Linked DNA regions of Coturnix japonica. The protein of the gene in region 1 interacts with the protein of each later gene in a pairwise test. Links are inferred from orthologs where the notes say so. Each region holds a gene or a part of one and is shown on either strand. Other genes may lie near its edges.

Region 1 (9,080 bases):
ATGAAGAAATTACAGAAGTCCTAGAGGTCACCACAACCATCTTCATAACACGAATTAACCTCACACTAGACATGCCTCTCAACAGCAAGTTCATCTGCTCAGCTATTCACACAGCAATACGACTGCCAAAAGAGTTGGTGCATTTTTTACAACCAGTAAACTTGATAACCATTATCAACATTGTTACCTCAGGACCAAGCATAAACTTATTTTGATCACAGTGACAATTCCCCTCTCTTCCAACTCATACGTACCTGATCACAACCCGCATTCACCAGCTCCTGGAGCATCTGCCTATTCACTTCAACAGCTGCTGTATTGCTCGACTCATTAGCAAAAGGTAGCAAAGAATACCTAATTTCTCGCAGAGCTTTCTGATAAGGTCCAAACTTTGCCGTTTGTCTCATCTGCTGCTGCCTTGCAGCATCCTTCCCTACTAAAATCTTAGGGTCCAGAGAAGTTTCACTGCCTGGTCCAATAGGCAGCCCCTGACCTGAAGATTTGGATGGCTGCTTTAAACCTTCTCGAATCTCTTGTAACCTTTGTCTGCTGTTTCCAGAATACGTTGTAGCAGGAAAAGTCTTTGGCCTCATTGTTAATCCAGTTTTCTCTGAGCATAAATACAGCTTTATTCTTGGTAGTTTTTTTTTAGCTACTTTATTTCTAAGAAGTGTCGCTTCACGGTATCAATTTCTTGTAAACATAAATCCTTCAAAGGGAAAAAGAAAAATGGCAAAATCCTCAAGAGGTTCCTGCCAGCATTTTACTTCAGCTCACAGTCTTCACATCTCCTACAGAAAATCCTTGGAGTCATCATTTCACAAACCGACGGCGTCTGAAACAAAAGCAAACAGAAAGCACGCGTAATTAAGTTGATATTGTAAACACCTCCAAAGGGACAACATGACAATTAATCAAGTGAAAGTGAATCAGTTTAACCTTATTAAGCTGTTGCAGCTTAATGCATTAATGATGATTATCACTTTATCTGTTTTCAAGAATAGGATTTCAAAAGGCTTTCTCGACATCATCAAAAAAAGCATTTTTCTTCAAGGCCTTGTTTTGAAAATAAATGAAAATAAAAACCTCAGAAACTACAAAGCTTGAGAATTTCATACACTACCTAATTGTGGCAGGTTTCCCACCCCATTGCATAACCAAACCCTGGACAAGCCTATCCTGTTTCATAATTAGGGAAGAGCATGCTCATGAAACGTTTTTCCCCCACTTCAGATTTTGTTTGTTTTACACAAGCTGAGCTCAGTTTCAAGAGTTTATGAAAAAGCCTTATAATGGAAATATTGATGATTCTAACCATAGCAACTTCTAGCATTTTAATAACAAAGTGACAAGATATTTTGCCATTCCACATGAACGTTCTTGCCAATGTTGAAGGTAAGAATTGCCCCTCTCCCAGTTCCAGGGGGTTTATTTTATTTCTTTGTATTATTGCTATTATTAAAGGGTGCAAGGGCGAGGGAATCAAAAGGGTGATGCATACTTTAACTGTGCCTGACAAGAAGACAGGGAAGGAGCTACTCAGTAACAGCACAAAAAGCTGAAGAAGTTCAGACCGCTCACATAAGATTAAAACACAGCTGTGATACAGCCTCACAGCCCTCTTATGATACACAGCAGAGGTCAGCTATACAACTATGGAGCAGAACTGAGCTACTCTGCAACTTGTGACACCTTTACAGCACTGAGAGGTAATCAGAATTCTTTATTTACTGAGTCTTCGTGGCATTGACAAGTGACAGGACGAGGGGAAACGGCCTCAAGTTGCGCCAGGGCAAGTTTAGGTTGGATATTAGGAAGAACTTCTTTACAGAAAGGGTAGTTAGGTACTGGAATAGGCTCCCCAGGGAGGTGGTTGAATCGCCATCCCTGGTTGTGTTTAAGAGCCGTTTGGATGTGGTGCTCAGGGATATGATTTAGTGTAGGGTTGTTAGAGTTAGGGTACTGGTTAGCTGGGTTGGACTTTGATGATCTTCAAGGTCTTTTTTTCCAACCTGGGTAATTCTATGATTCCATGACTGTTACATGCCAAACATTACATACAGATGCATTTCAGAAAAAGGATTAAAAAGAAGCATCACATAGCACTGATGCTACAAGTTTGTTTCTGCCACCAGTACCAACATCTGCACAGTGACTTTACCCTGCTGCTCCATTGAGAAAGCTCAGAATTTCGGGTCCAGTTGTTTTGAAGCCACAAACAGAAGCTGGTGAAGTTCTGCTATCGTTGGTCACTCAGAAGCAAAGCGGACCTTCTTTCTCAGCCCTCATTATAAAGGGGCTTCACAGCCTGCAGTATTACTATTATTAATACATCATGAAAAGCTTCTCCAGAAAGCATTCTAGTCATACACTCCACCCACTGCAATAACTGTTCCTGTGACAGCTACAGCGTTTCCAACAAAACAACCATTTCTATACAACTTACTACCACCCCTCACAGACAAGCAAACAGATAACTACCTGAAAGCCAGGAGTCCGCACATACCCCTTGAAGCCCATCATCACCTCCTCACTGGCACGTGGGCTACTGTCAAGAGAGTCAAGTTCTCCACTAAACCAAGAACTGAGTACAGGGCAAATTACAGCCAAGTCACAGATCACAGAATGAACCCGGGTTGGAAGGGACCTCCTCAAGGATCATGTAGTTCCAACCCCCTGCCTGGCAGGGCCACCAAACATACACCTTTTACTAATAGGTTGCCCAGGGCCCTGTCCAACCTGGTTTGAACACCTCCAAGGACGGGGCACCACAACCTCCTGGGCAGCCTGTTCCAGGGCCTAACCACTCTCCTAGTGAAGAACTTCCCCCTAACATCCAACCTAAATCTTCCTCCTTCACTTAAAACCATTTCCCCTAGTTCCTGCTATTACAGCCCTTTCGAGAGATTTACTCCCCTCCTGGTGTGTAGGTTCCCTTCAGGTATTGAAGGCTCAATGAGGTCACCCCGCAACCTTCTCTTCTCCAGGCTGAACAAACCCAATTCCCTCAGCCTGTCCTCATAGGGGAGGTGCTCCAGCCCCCTGATCATCTTCGTGGCCCTCCCCTGGGCCCCTCTGGTCAGACCCCAGAGTCCTTTGAAATAGTCTCCAGAGCACTTTGAAATACAGGAGCACAGACTGATCACTTTAGGTACTGTCTATGTCTTATGCTCTTAACTAAGCACACCAAGGAAATTTCCATGCAAGGTAACAGCAGCCCATCCCAGCCCCCTGAGCCCAGAAGTGGTACACACCTATGCTGAGAGCTCCAGGATCAAACTGCTGGAGAGCACACTTAGAATTTAGCAACAAATAGCACACAGCCAAAGCAAAGGGTTAAAAAGCAAAACAGCATTACAGCCTTCTTAGGACTCCAGCATAACTCGCTAGCGCTTGAAAGATACAGAGCAATTAAGTGATCTATGACCGCCCTTCCTTTCCTGACAGCAGCAGGCACCATATGGCTGGGTTTAGGAATCCGGGCTGTTCTTCCTCTTTTCAGACCCCGTGCCAACCCACAGGCCTGGGATGTGCGGGAAGAACTCCAGCCCTTCCCACCTTTCTGCCACAAAGAACTGCCTTCCCACTTACACACATGCTTCAAATAAAGAACTGCTGTGACCTTTAGCCTGAGCTTGAGTCTAATAAAGCTAGGTCAAGCCAGCTGGCAGCTTCTTCAGCCTGCATTCACAGCACAGCTAAACTAGAAAGCAGCGCTGATTGCTCAGAGATACAAATGAGAAGAACAACAACTGTAAGTCAGAACTGCAGATGCGCTTCATATTTTGCAGAAGTTTGTTTTGTCCTTTTTTTTAAGCCAGATATTCAAGATCAGCCAAGAAATCAGGACATTAAGTATCACAGGCAATTTACAAAGAAACAAGCTGCCTGCTTTTTAAAGTCCATATGCAAGTAAAAGGGTTATGCCTCAAAAGAAACAGTGTGTCTAAGGATTTGTGACTGTACATTTGGACTTAGATAACTCCAAATCTCAAAGCTCACCTTGCCTATGGCACAGATATACACACAGCCTTTTTGCTGTCATGAGAAATGACTACTCAGAATTATTTCTGAGCTCCAAACCATTCTGATTAGATACTTCTAAGGTGCTGTTCTGTTCTTTTTCCCCTGCCAAAACGTTGTATGTTCTGTCAATTAGAAGCCTGCCTGTTACTCTGAAGAAAAAACATTTCAAATCTTTTTAACAACACGAGGTCAGAACAACTTTTTGAGTAACTGAGAATCTTCATCTGAGAAATACCAATCGCTGCCTGGCAGCAACCAACCAGCCAGCCACGCTGAATTCACATGCTGAAGTCTGCCATCCCAGCAGCACTGCCTACTCACTCCCATTTCTTCATTCAGCAACAGGCTGCATATGCCAGTGGCTCTGTAGGATTGAACACCGGCAAGAAACTAAAGCTCTAAAGCTCAGTTGTGCTTCAGGAGCAAAGTCTCAGACCCTGAGCTGACAAGATGCTTCCCAGCCTCTAACTGTGCCGGCACGGTGAATAACTACTGATGGCTGCAGAAGTAAGGACTGAAGTTTTAAGGAACGGACACAACTGCCTTCTCACAATTTGCTGGCATCGCACTGGGCTTTTTGGCTCCGAAATGCATGGAAGCAACCTGGCCACTTTGTGCTGGAGGTCTAACCTAGGGAAAAGGGGCCAGGAATTTCACTGTGTTACAAAGCACACTCCTCTTTATAAGAGCACGCAAGCTAAAAGCGGCAAGAACCAAAAGGAGCACTTCTCCCAAGATCATTCCCCCTCGTCTTCCCCCCTGCAAACAAAACCGTCCCAGAGTAACTCAGCGCTCGAGACTCACAGAATCACAGAATTGTAGGGGTTGGAAGGGACCTCCAGAGATCATCGAGTCCAACCCCCCTGCCAAAGCAGGCTCCCTACACCATGTCACACAGCTCGGCGTCCAGGCGGGTCTTAAATAGCCAAACGCAGGGGCCGGCCCGGCACAGCGCAGCGGGACGCGGCCAGCAGCCACCGCCGCAATCCCGGGGCTACGCAGAGCGATTCGCAGCAAGGCGCGGGTCCCGCACTCGGCGGGCAGGGCCGGGGCTGAGGCGCTGAGCCGGGCCGTGACCTTCAGGCCGAGCCGCGGGCCCGGCCGAACAAGCTGAGGCGGACGGGGGCCGGAGCTCGGCCCCTCCACACAGCCCTAAGGGAGGGTCGGGCCCGGGATGGAAAGCTCCCAGGAGTTGAACCCCGGCCAAGCATGAGGGCTCCCCCCGCTCCGGACTGTCACACCGGAGAGCCCCGCACGGAGCGGCGAGGCCTGAGGGGGGGGAGGGGGCGGGGTGACGGGACGCGACAGCCAGCCCCGCGCCCCTCTTCCTCGCGCGGGACACCCGCCTCCCCCGGGCCCCGAGCTCTAACTTTCCCCTCAGACAAGCGGAGCATCCGGGGTGGGAATGGAGGGGCCGCCGTGCTATGGGAAGAGCCGCACCGCCGCGCCCTTACGTCGCAAACCCGCCTCACCTCCTCGGCTTACACCCCCTGCGCTCCGTCACGCAGCGCTGTGGTGGCGGCGGCCCCGACGTGGCGGGTCGCTCCGCTCTCCATCTCCGTCCGCCCGCTCCGTCCCGGTCGCAGCGCGGGGCGCAGTCGGGACATTCGCTACATTGTTAGCATTCCTCGCTGCTCACGTGACCCAGCGCCCGCGTCATTCCACTCTCACCCCCCTCCCGCCACATACCAGTGGGGGGGGGAGGGGCCTCGAGCGGCGGGGCGGGAACGGGGATGGGGCTGCCTGAGGAGATGGGGTGGGAGCGGTGTGTCCTCCGCCTCTCGGGGTGTTTATAGCCGTCATGTGGCGCTTCCCCACCTCACAAGTGGCTCTACAGTCTCGTAAATGGTTCAACCCGGGTTTTGGGGGCAGAAGGTGGCTGTGAGGAAACGGCGCTGCCCGATGGCGCCTCAGCCCTCCCCACACCGGGCAGCGCCGTTTCCTCACAGCGCCCCGAACTCGATTCAGTCACAAATTTTGCTGTAAATCTGTTACTAATCCTGGGACAAAACTCCAGGCCCAAGCTGCAAAAGGGTTTTTGAATGCAAAGTTCATATCAGAGCTCGTTACAGTTGGAAGTGCCTGGATCCGAGCCTGTTTTAGATATCTCTATAGTCTGTAGATGTATATTACTGAGTTGTATATTACTGTTGGAATTTTAATAGTGTTATTGACCGGAATATATTGCAGGGAGTGGGGGAAGGAGGAAACCTCTGGCTCCTCCTAAGGAAGCTAAAGAAACTCATCAGGTTCAGAGCAGATTCCAATGTTGGAGGAATATTGCAGGATAATGTGGTTCATTTTGCAATCTTCAAATACCTGCTATACTGAAGTAAATTTTAAATGATATGACAGATGCAGCATGGCTTCATTTTCTGAATTACTGTTGTGCTTAACCGATGAAGCATAGCAACATGATTGCCCAAACCAGAGATTGCTCAATGCCTTGAGACCTTTTCCCAACAAAATTCAGGCTGGCTTAAAGGAACAGCATCAAGATAAAAATTGCTTACTCTCTGCTGATACGTTATTTCATAAGATTTGGTTGTCATCCACATTTCTGAATCTAGGTAAAACAGATCTGTTCACTTATTTTCCTCCACCGAGCTTGTTTGTTTTCCTTTAGCATTCCAATCCACCTGGGAATGAAACTCAGCTGCACTATTTCACCTCCTGGTTCCAGCCAGCTGCACTTTCTGAATTTCATGCATTTGCACAGAGCTGCTGGTTTGAATTCCCAGCAGCAGCAGCAGGTACAGCAGAGATGGATTGCATTTGCTTCCACAAAGTAACTGTATTCAGCTGGTCCACTGCTTATAAGAAAACTCCTCAGGCTGTTTCTGCCTTTAGAAAAACAGGCTGTTAAAAAATGAGATCTTTGAAAACATGAAGGAAACGGAATTTGGTTGTAGCATGACACAACAGCTCCGTGAGAACATGATTTGATCTCTAAGTTTTTGGGGATGACTGTGGATCCATCAAGTCTTTCATCCCAGCTGTGTTCTACCGAACAAGGTATTGCCACAGGGAAAGATGCACATAAAAAGAGCTACACAATATGTCTGTACGAGCAAATCCACTTTCAGCTAGACCACAAGATAATAATCTGCCATGAGTAAGGGTCAGTGTGTTTATTCACGGCTCATCTAAAGTGAGTGAGCCTGCTGGACATATGATGATTACAGCATCCAGCTCTTGACTTGCCTGAGCAGCTGTTTGCTGTGCTGTGTAGGTACGGTGGGAAAGAGCACAGCTCCACGGCTCCACATTCTTTCCACCCACCTGAGACAGCAAGAGGAGGCAGGAGCTCTGTGCAGCTCTCTCCCATTCTCTCACATCGAATGCGGTGAATCGCCTTCTCCCCTCCCTGTTCTCTTGTATCAGTGTTAGATGGGCAAAGGTGTGAGTCTTCCTAAGTAATTATATTTGGAACCAATTACCAAATCATGCTGCTAAAAATACGATCAATCGAGCAATTGTGATGTGTGTGGACGAATCGTTACGCAGTAGTGGTAGCCAACAAAACCTTGAACTCACTCAGAAAGCTTGTGAAAGATAAAGCAAGATCGTCAGATATGTCTGGTTGTCTGCTACAGTAACACACACACAAAATAATTGTGCACATATATGTGTGAGAGTACTCAAAGAATTTGCTGATAGCAACATCCTTTACTAGGAAATGTCTAGAACCAAATTACTGTGATGTGCAGTGAACAATGTGCGAGGAAAAAGGACTTGGGTAAACACCACTGACATGTTCTTGTTTTAATACATCTGTTTTGTTTGCAGAGTGATACTGGGAAATCATTCTTCCCAAATCCAATGCTAAACTAGTTAGAAACAGGCATTCAGAGTCCAACGCTGCTTAGGCAGCCCAACCTGTGAAGTAAATATAATTTGTTTAATGGCAGTGAGAATTAACATTAATGACAGACAAAGGTTCAGTAAGGTAGGCAGGTGAAAAACTAAGTTCTAACTGCAGTTTGGATAACCTCATTTATTTTTATCAGGACTACATCTATGAGATCAAACTTGTTTTTATCGGCAAAGGAGTAGAGAATATAAGAACAGGAATTTGATTTCAACACAAAATGGATGCATCAGGGCAAAGCTTGCTTTGAAACTGACTCAGCTTTGCAGAGGAAACACAAACCCAGGTTTACTTCATTGGCAAAGGCATTGTGGATGCTCAGACTGCCTTTATGACCCTCATATAGAGGGTTCAACACTGAATTTCACAAAGACCCATGTTCCTACGTACTCTGCCCCCCGCCCCACACTTGGTGTCAATCATTGACTTCAACCGGAGCCTGAAAGGGCGGCAGGAATGTCGTGAGTCTGTGTGGAATTTCACCAACAGCAGCCAGCTGTGCTCTCTGCTTGGGAATCGGTCGGCCAACTTTTCAAGTCCTTACAGTCATCTTGGTGACATTCCTTTCTTCAGATGCAGTGCAGATGGCTTTTGAACACCACAGCCAACCAATTCCAAACTGTTAGGAAATGTTTTTACACATCCATAGGCAGTGTCCTTCTCATCCCGAGAAGGGGGAAAATGCAGGATATACGAGGCCCTGGCATCTGGTGAGGGCATCCAGTAGCCATCAATCTGGCCTGTAATTCTTTTCATCAAAGGTCAGGCACAGTTGCTGTTATCTTCTCCCAGCATAAACAGTGCCCCAGCATGGCTCTGCCCTTCCTGTCACAGACGCAGAAATGATTCACTCTCCAGACAGATAGAAAAGGCGTGGGAGGAACACAAGTCCTGGTGCAATATGCAAGGGACTCTGTGACAGGTGAGGATACGGGTAGCTGTACAGAGCGCCTGTGTAGAGAGGTAAAGAGCAGAAAAAAAAAAAGAGGGAACTGTGGGGAACCCTGAGGGAACTAATGAGCCACTTTTCTTCTCCAGTGTATGGGAGAAGAAAATCCAAAGGAATCCCCAGAGTCACTGGTACAAAGGTGAGAGCTGGGGACCAGGAAGTTCCTAGAGGAGCATGGGGTGGGAAAGCAGCGATGGGGCATGTGGGAAGGAATGAGCCATGTGTGTGGCCCAT
Region 2 (9,250 bases), on another chromosome or scaffold:
CCCTGTATTTTATTCACAGATTCAGAAACTCTCCAGTGGTGCTAATTATAAATAGACAAAATATACTTTTATCTGTCTTCTTTTTAACACAGTTCACATTCTGGAGCTTCAGAATGAAATAGTGTTTTATGCTGAAGCCATGCCAACACATCTGATTTAACATTCCAGTGCTTCTTCCTAACAGAGCCTGGAGCTCAATACCCTTAGTCAAAAGGAGCTTTACGATCCACTCTTCTCCAAACCCCATGACTGTGCCAACACAGACTATGCATTCTGACACAAAGATCCTGTACTTGTAATCCATCACAAGACTGATATATCTACCCTGAGAGTATGCCTATAATCATCAACCTGATTCTGCACACCCTCAGCATTACTAATCTGCATTTCTTGCTCCAGCTCATCACTTGCAACACAGTGCTGCTGAAATGCAAACTTCTTTCAGCATGAATTCTGCTGACAGCAGTACCAGATGTTTATGTTTTCTTAGTAGTCACCCTCAAAGCTGAAGAATAATGCGCAAAGCTAATTTCATCAGCTTTCATAATGAGAATCATCATTCCAAACAGGGACTTCCCAGACGAGATGCTGCAGATAGAGTTGTGGTTATTCAGCAGCACTGAGGGGAGTGTCCAAACAGCAAGTTACGTGACGGATGCAAGTGCTGAATAATCAGAGGATGAACACACAGCATTTGAAGCGTCTGATGAAACTCAGAGAACTGAAACAAAAAAAATAATAGTCAGGAAGTACAGCAAGTAAGTTGCGGAAGAAACTAATTGTTTCGTGACATGAAATAGAATATAACTTGCAGTGAGTCTCTGTCTCTCAGCAGCACCACTTTTCCAGCTCCTTCAAAGAGCTTGCATAGTAGCAAGCTGGCTCTTTCTTATGTTTTTATTTTTAATTGGAGAAAATATTTAAGTCAACTGTTTGAAACATGAAAGCTAGTTTTGAAAAGAATACTTGTTTTAAAAGGAGTGTTTGCACCAGTGTGTAACAATCACAGAATACCCAGGAAACGTATGTAAAGCCATAAATCACTTCAAAAACAACATAATGGAATCTAGAGTACCTAAAGGAAAAACAGCCCTCCACTGCTTTACTGCATTTCTGTGTGCCTGAATATTTGCAATCATTTACAGTTCCTACAAATTCCTAGTCCAAGCCTGCATGAATACTGAAAGCAATGACACCGAGTTCCAGAAATAACAATAATCAGCTAAATCCATTTGCTGTTATTTGATGAACTCTGTTCTAGTTACATAATTTGCTATTATGGCAAATTATCTCAATATCCCTATATAACACTGTCAGTATAAATCATATAACAAGGTCTACTGATCCACAAAACCTGGGCGTAAGAAGCTGAAGAAAAAGAAATGCCTCTGTATAATGCAACATTATAGACACAAGGAGATAACTGTGAAATGAATCAAGCTTCCTAAAAAGACATGGTAGAAAAAAAACAAATTGCTTACGTAAAGTCAGAGAAACTTTAAGTAGTTCATATTCATTTATGGCTCAGTTTTCAAAATGAACTGAGTAGTAAGTAATAAAAGACAACAGGATACGCAGATCATGTCACTACAATGGAGAAAAAACATTCTTAACAACAAACAGTAGCATACATAAACATTCGGAACACAGTGTAGTGGATGGTTTCTCTGCTATACGTTGGTGTAGCTCTGATCAACTCTATAAGCATTCCTGAATCGTTCAGAAATTAAACTGAACTTAAGAGAGACACGCAATTCAGCTTCAATCCTATTGCAGCAGCTCAATGCAACTTACAGCTGGGGGGGGAGGGGGGAAGGAGGGAAGTATCCACTTTAAGAAGGAAACCAGCTCTCAAGACAGCTGGCCAACCCCAGACACACTGAGTACTGACAGAAATTGGACTAAGTTTTCCCTTTCTCCCTTACTATCGCTGAAAAGAGGAAATCTATGAAATGTTCCAACAGTTACTACGGTTGATTCAACATTTGCTTCTCAAGAGGTAGGTTTTTTTGTGTGTGTTTTGTTTTTTTTAAAGCACAATTTCTTTGCAGACGCATAAGGCAAAATGCTGTAATAGAGTCATTCTTAATATTTGATGCTCATATGGTTCAAACATACATAGCCAAGACCTGCTCACTGATCATATACGTTGCTAATTATGTCTCAGCATTTAAGCACCATCAGTTGACTGAAGCCAGCAGAAGAAGATTATTAGCTGGCTAATCCAAATTTAGAGGGGATGAGGAGTATTTACATCTCAGATTACATTTTATTTAATGCTTCCTGAAGTTCTCTTTGAAGCAGTGAAAGGCATGAAGTGAGCCTCTGCCAGAGATCACCAGGAGTTCAGACTACATTACACAAAGTACAAACAAGACAGAAGAAAGGAAGGCCTGATGATGGATAGAGATGTTACAGCACACTTTTGACCTCCATCCTCCTCCCGCAAAGCACAGTTGGTTTGTACGCATCACAAGACTTGGGAGATCTGTTGTTCTACCTCAATAAACACAGCAATAAGCCTGACTTTCCAAATCTCCATCCAATCATATCATTCCTTTCTCGCATGACTTCACTGGCCTTTACACTGAGTCGGGTAAAACTTGGTACCTTGAGTAAAACCAACCGACCGTTACCTAAACTGAAAGTATTTTTACTGCTAAGTTCTTATTTGATATTCAGCTATGCTGAACTACTTTAATACACCACAGTTTCTTAAAATAGCCCTTAAAACAGCCCAGTTAAGGCAATGAAAACGACCAAAGAAACCAAACTGAAATAATTACACTCCTCACAACCATCTGAGTTTTGTTCCCTACTCTGGCTCTTCATTTGTGCTTTTCACTTTACAAAGCTTCTATGTTGTAATGCTGCTCCGTTCCTAGCCTAGGAACTTTTTTATTATTACATTTTTTTGCTAGCTCTAAGTTTCTGGAGAACAATTAGTTCTTATATATATATGTTGTGACAAGCATGAAAGCTCATAGATCCTTCTAAACACCAGCTCCAGCACAGCATCAGTTTTGGATCACAGCTCGGACAGGACAGAATGCAGTGGGAACAGATGCAAACTCTTACATCCTGTGCTTAGTCCAGGAGCTGTATGCATCCTGGTTTTTCACGTTTACAGCTTTGCTACAAATGTAGAAGAGCAAGGTAATTTTCCTGTTTTGCAACAGTATCATTATATTGCCATAACCAAACAGTACTGAACGAACAAGTAAAGTTCTCGCCTTCTGAGAGTTTACTCGAAAGCCATTGAAATAGACAGATCTATGACATAAGTGTGCAGCTATGTAGCACTATACGCCAGACGCCTACTGCCAGAAGGAAAAGGGGCCCACTTTGAGTCCAAGCTCCATCACAAGAAAAGCCTCTGTGCGCTACCAAGACCACGCCTATTGTGTGGCTCAGGCTAGAGACTAACAGAGGAGGTACAGAAATATCACAGATCATTTAGCTCTGTGAGCCTCACTGCGATAACGGCTCCAGTGATGGATGCAACAAGAACCGGGTGAGACTCTCAGGTTTCACCTGTCCTGTATCTCATTTGAATGTGGTGAGAATGGGATCTATACTAAAGCTCTGTGTGCCTCCTATCTCCAACTGTGACACAGCTTCTCTGACCTTTCAGGGCTTCACTTCTCCAGACACAGTTGTGTAAGAGCTACAAGGTAAAATGCAACTTTGTGCTTTGAAGCCAACCACCTCCTGGACCTGAACAGCAGCTCAGGGGGCAAAGCTTTCAGTGCTCCAGGGAATTGCATGCTTGTACGTGTCCACGCTGGGCAGTCCTGTGTGCACAGGGCCTGAGCACAGGTACTTCTTTATTGCTCTCCTCTCCTCCAGAGGAGATGACAAAGCTGCAGCACCAGCCAGAATTTTTTAAATGCTCATTTGCTAAAGTGCTTCATAAACACAGAAGCACAAAATAAGCTTAAAATTACAGGTCAAGTCAAATTCTTGCTTGTATTTATATATATATATATATATATATATATATTTTAATGGCAAAACAACGTTAATGTAGTTTTAGTCTTATGAAATCTCTACTAAGGTAGTAAGCTTATATATATATATATATATAAATTCTACACTTACCCCATATCTATCTACTAATTACAAAATTTAAAAGCAAGAGGAAGTTTTGAGGTCTTGTTTCTAAACATGGGCTCAGGTGGATCACAACACACCAGCTCAGATCACAGTGCTTTGAGACGAGGCTGTCACCACGTTACTGCTGTGAAAGCAGGCAGGGCTGTGGACACAGCACGGGGCACTCGCGCTAATTTATCATCCATCCTAAGTATTTTATTGCAGCCAATATCCGAAGCGCAAACTTCCCAGCACAGAGGGGAAGCGGAACTGACCCCTGCGCCACCAGCACGGCTGCCGAGCTGCACATCCTAGCTGCTTCTCCGAGCTCCCGGGGCCTCGCAGCTCACACCTGCTTCACCGTTCCGGCAAAAACGGGCATCCCGGCTCTCTGCCACGGTGAAGCTCATCTCTGACCCGCGGATACGAGCCACCGGTGCCGGCAGCGCCAACAGCCGCACGCTGACAGCGCGCTAGCTGACAGCTTTCTCTCCTAAACGGGGTCAGCGGGGGACAGAAAGAGGATCTGACACACTTTTGCTTCCCGACGGGAGAGCCGCAGGGCGCTGCTCGGCCCCGGTGCCGCGGGGCACAGCGAGGGGGCAGCGCTCGGACCGAGCCTCTCTCGCCGGAGGGCGGCGCGGAGCCGCGCCTCGGCCCGGCCGGAGCTGCGCGGACGGCGGGGCGAGCGGTGAGGCGATAAGCCCCGGCAGGAAGGGCGCGGCGGCGCGGTCTCACCTGCGTTGTAGAAGCGATCCAGCACGGCCGTCTCGCCGAAGTCCAGCTTGCCGAAGTGCAGCGTTTCCAGCGAGGCTCCCACCACCTCGCACGCCTCCCGCAGGCTCTGCAAGGCGCCGCTCTCCGCCGCCAGCAGCGGCCCCTGGCTCGCCTCGTTGATCACGTAGGTGACAGCCGTCCGCCGCCCGGCGCCCTTGGTCCGCGCGGCGATGCCCGCGCCGGCGGCGGGGCAAGCGACGGCCGCGTCCTCGCCCCACGGCGGGGTCACCTCGGGCTGGAAGCCGCGGCCGCCGTCGGCTCCTTGCGCCCGCCGGCCGAGCCCCTCCTCGCCGCCGCCCGGAGGGCCGGGCACCGCGAAGCTGATGGTCCCCTCGCCGCCGTCGTTCATCCCTGCGGAGCCGCCACCGCGGCGCGTCCCGGGCTCTGCTCTAGAGGCCGGGGTCAGGCGGCTGCCATGCCGCGTCCTTCCACCTCGAGCGATCCCCGCACGCTGTGGCCGAGCTGCCGGAGAGGAACGGCGATCGGGCTGGGGCGAGGCGCTGCCCCGCGGAGCCTAACAGCGGCGGCAGGGGGCGAGGAGACGAACGCAGCCTCCCGCGGCGCCCGCCGCCCGCACCATGGCACGGCGCTCCCTGCTCCCCCGCACCTGTACGGACCACCTGGCGAGCGGCCCCCCGCAGCCCGCTCCGCACCGCCGGCACCTCGCTCTGCCTCCGGCCGCCGGCTCCGACTCCCTCTCGGGCAGGAACCACTTGTGGGACTGCTCTCAGGCGCCCCCGATTAAGACGAGCGACAGCTGCGCTGCTCTACTCGCGGCTCAGGCGGGGGCGGCCCCGCACCGCGCTCCTCCTTCCGGGCCCGCCTCCGGCCACTAATAAGGCAGCGGCGGCCGCCGGGCTGTGCGTTGGGATGGAATGGAATGTCGGGTGTGCGAGGAAGGCTCCGCTGGGACCCCCGAGAGCGGGCGGGGACTGCTGCCCGTGGCGGATGCGCTGCACGTCTGGTTCTTGGGCCGCAGCGGGGATGGAGCAAAGACTGGCGGAACCCCGTGTTGTTCTGTTTAATGGTATCGGAAAAGCCTCAACAGGCTGGAAAGCTGGGCTCGGGTGAATCTAATGAGGTTCAACGCAGCAAAGTGCAAGGTTTTGCACTTGGGCCGGAAGAACCCCAGGCACCTGTACAGGCTGGGAGTAGTGGTCCTTGAGAGCAGCTTGGCAGAGAAGGACCTGGGGGTCCTGATGGATGAAAGACTCAACATGAGCCAGCAGTGCGCTCTGGCAGCCCGGAAAGCAAATGGGATCCTGGGCTCCATCAGGAGAGGGGTGGTCAGCAGGGATAGGGAGGTGATCGTCCCTCTCTACTCTGCTCTTGTGAGGCCCTATCTGGAGTACTGTGTCCAGGTGTGGAGCCCTCAGTACAAAAAAGACATTGAGATTTTGGAAAGGGTCCAGAGGAGGGCCACAAAGATGATCACGGGGCTGGAGCACCTCCCCTATGAGGACAGGCTGAGGGAGTTGGGTTTGTTCAGCCTGGAGAAGAGAAGGTTGCGGGGTGACCTCATTGCAGCCTTTCAATACCTGAAGGGAACTTACACCCAGGAGGGGAGTAAACTCTTCAAAAGGGCTGATAATAGCAGGACACGGGGAAATGGTTTTAAGTTAAAAGAGGGAAGATTTAGGTTGGATGTTAAGGGGAAGTTCTTCACTAGGAGAGTGGTTAGGCCCTGGAACAGGCTGCCCAGGGAGGTTGTGGATGCCCCGTCCTTGGAGGTGTTCAAGACCAGGTTGGACAGGGCCCTGGGCAACCTGATCTAGTAAAGGTGTATGTTTGGTGGCCCTGCCAGGCAGGGGGGTTGGAACTACATGATCCTTGAGGTCCCTTCCAACCCAGGTAATTCTGTGATTCTGTGAGAAGCCGAGCAGCTCTGTCTCCTGGCGTGCTGCGGGCAGCGCTCTGAGCCGGGGGTGCCGGTTCGTCGGCAGCTGCTGGGATGGAACGGGTCCTGACTTGCCTGAGATTTTAAAGCGTCCTTTCACCAGCAGATGAGTTTTGATTCAGACGAACCTGTTTTTGCATAAAACAAAGGGGTGGGCAATGACCTCGTGTCCCTGCCAGCTGAGGGGGTTTTTGCTGTTTAGCTCGGGGTTGTTTTTGTTGCTTCTTGCTCAAGGACACGGTGACTGGCACTGGGGCCTAGCAACAAGTGAGATGCTTGTGAGTGCTCTGCTGTCTGGAGTACTGTGTCCAGGTTTGGGGCCCTCAGCACAAGGAAGATGTGGAGCTGTCAGAGCAGGTCCAGAGGAGGGCCTTGAAAATGACCAGAGGGCTGGTGCCCCACTCCTATGAAGTGCTGGCTGAGGGAGCCAGGCTTGTTCAGCACGGAGAAGAGAAGGCTCCCAGGAAACCTCATTGGAGTTCTCCAGTACTTGATGGGAGCTTATAAGCAGGAGGGGGACTGAATTTTTATACAGTCTGATTGTGATAGGGCAAGGGGGGATGGCTCTACGCTAAAAGGGGAGATTTGGGTTAGATGTTAGGAAGTAATTCTTCACTTGGTGGATGGTGAGGCACTGGAACAAGTTACCCAGAGAAGCTGTGTATACCCCATCCCTGGGGGCATTTAAGACCAGGTTGGATGGGGCCCTGAGCAGCCTGGTCCAGAGGATGGTGCTAACCTTACCCATGGCAGGAAGGGTGGAACTTGACCATCTTTAAGATCCCTTCTAAGTTAAGCTATTCTATGACCTTAGAGACAGGGACTCCGCCACTTCCCTGAACAGCCTGTTCCAATGTTGTCTCTGTGAAGGAATTTTTCCCCAGCATCCATTCTAACATCCATTCTAACCATCCCCTGGTGCAACTTGAGATGGTTTCCTCATGTTCTATTACTTTTCACCTGTGAAAAAAGACCGACACTTTCCACTCTGCAACATGGAGCAACGTAGCACTGCGCATTATTAATGTTTGTGTCCTACCAATAGGTCCATCTGCTTTGTGCATTATAGTGGATCTTGTTGGGATAAAATCAACTTCCTGGCATGGATCCTGTTCCTGTATTGTTTATTTCCATTACTTCTGTAAGACAAGGATAAATTCTGGAATAGTTAGGAGAAATTAGTCACCTTTGGGAGCTCTGTTTGCGTCGATAGGTTCCCATTTTCAGTGAGATATGCCTGGCATTTGCTTCTGCTGATAAGGAATGGGTAAATGGGGTGGGAAGATGACGAGCAAACGAAAGACTAATTTAAAGGGGGAAGTTAATATTTGCTAATCTGCAATATACAGTAGGTTATTGTTTCTTGCTCTGGTCAGAACGACAATGAATGTTTTCCTAAATAAAGTAGTTTTCCACAAAATGCAGAATCGGTGTTAATCCATTCAGCACTGCTCTTACATCACCTTACAGGAAGCAAGAACAATGTGCCTCTGTTGTTCTCTAGAACAGCCCATGTTTGTCAAGCACAGAAGGAAGTCCCAGACTGAAAGGAGACGGAAGCAGCATGCTATTCTACTTAGTGCTATGACTCGTGAGGCCTGTGTCATTATTAGTGCCATGTCCATTCCAAACACAAGACAGGTCTTCTGTAGATTTGGCTGGATGTGATGTTGAGCCGTAAAAAGAAACGAAAAAACAAGTAATAAAAAAGGAAAAATAACCTGGAATAACCCACACAAATCTTCAGCATACCTTGTTCACTTGTTTCTCAAGCACTGTCGAATTTACATCTCTAGTACCAGATGGTTTACACCCGATTACAGTTCAGTATCACCCTGTTCCTGTTGTGCTTTTTCTAATGACAAAAACTTGCAGCAAGCAGCGTTAGCTGCAAATCTGTTGGAATAATTCCATCTCTTCCTTGTAGGTTTTCAAAGCAATACATCACTGTCCTTTTGCTTTAACCATAATTAGAATTCTAACAGCCAGGAATTTTTCATTCTTATTAGTTGAAAATGCAATTTGTGTTGGGTGACAAACACTGTGTTGCAGATGCTAAAGACTTGATTAAGCCACTCAAAATGAGATCGAGACCAAAAGAGGTAGTTTCATTTTAAGCATTCTGATTTAGAGATATGAAATTTGAAGCATTTATGTCAAAATTATAACTTTTTTTTAATGTATTACAGCCATGAGTGTCCAGTAGAGGGAGAAAAGTGACTCAGTGATGCATTTTCAATTTTCTTGGTTGTATTGGAGATTGATGGAATGGACTAAAATATATTCCTATGGGAGTCTGTGGGAGTAAAGTTCAGTATGTTTCAATTATGGGTGTAAAGAAAACCATCCACGAACTTAAAGAACCTTGCAGACATAAAGATCCAAATGAGATCTCAGAAGTACACGTACTGTTCCTTTTCCCATGAGCGCTAGAAGGTAACTTGCACAAAAATAGAAATGGTTAAACTGAAATAAACAACA

What was found.
Region 2: the proteins of LATS2 (region 1) and MAP3K5 come close enough for resonance energy transfer, tested with the Homo sapiens proteins (2 studies listed by BioGRID, with this or other methods). The link is inferred for Coturnix japonica from reciprocal best matches to the Homo sapiens genes LATS2 and MAP3K5.

Annotation. Positions count from the first base shown.
Region 1 is NC_029516.1:159,806,033-159,815,112, reverse strand, and holds the start of LATS2 (serine/threonine-protein kinase LATS2), read right to left. Parts: upstream 5,692-9,080; 5' UTR 5,499-5,691; intron 836-5,498; 5' UTR 594-835; coding exon 255-593; intron 1-254. UniProt on the Homo sapiens protein: Negative regulator of YAP1 in the Hippo signaling pathway that plays a pivotal role in organ size control and tumor suppression by restricting proliferation and promoting apoptosis.
Region 2 is NC_029518.1:49,698,428-49,707,677, reverse strand, and holds the start of MAP3K5 (mitogen-activated protein kinase kinase kinase 5), read right to left. Parts: upstream 5,283-9,250; 5' UTR 5,222-5,282; coding exon 4,834-5,221; intron 1-4,833. UniProt on the Homo sapiens protein: Serine/threonine kinase which acts as an essential component of the MAP kinase signal transduction pathway. Plays an important role in the cascades of cellular responses evoked by changes in the environment.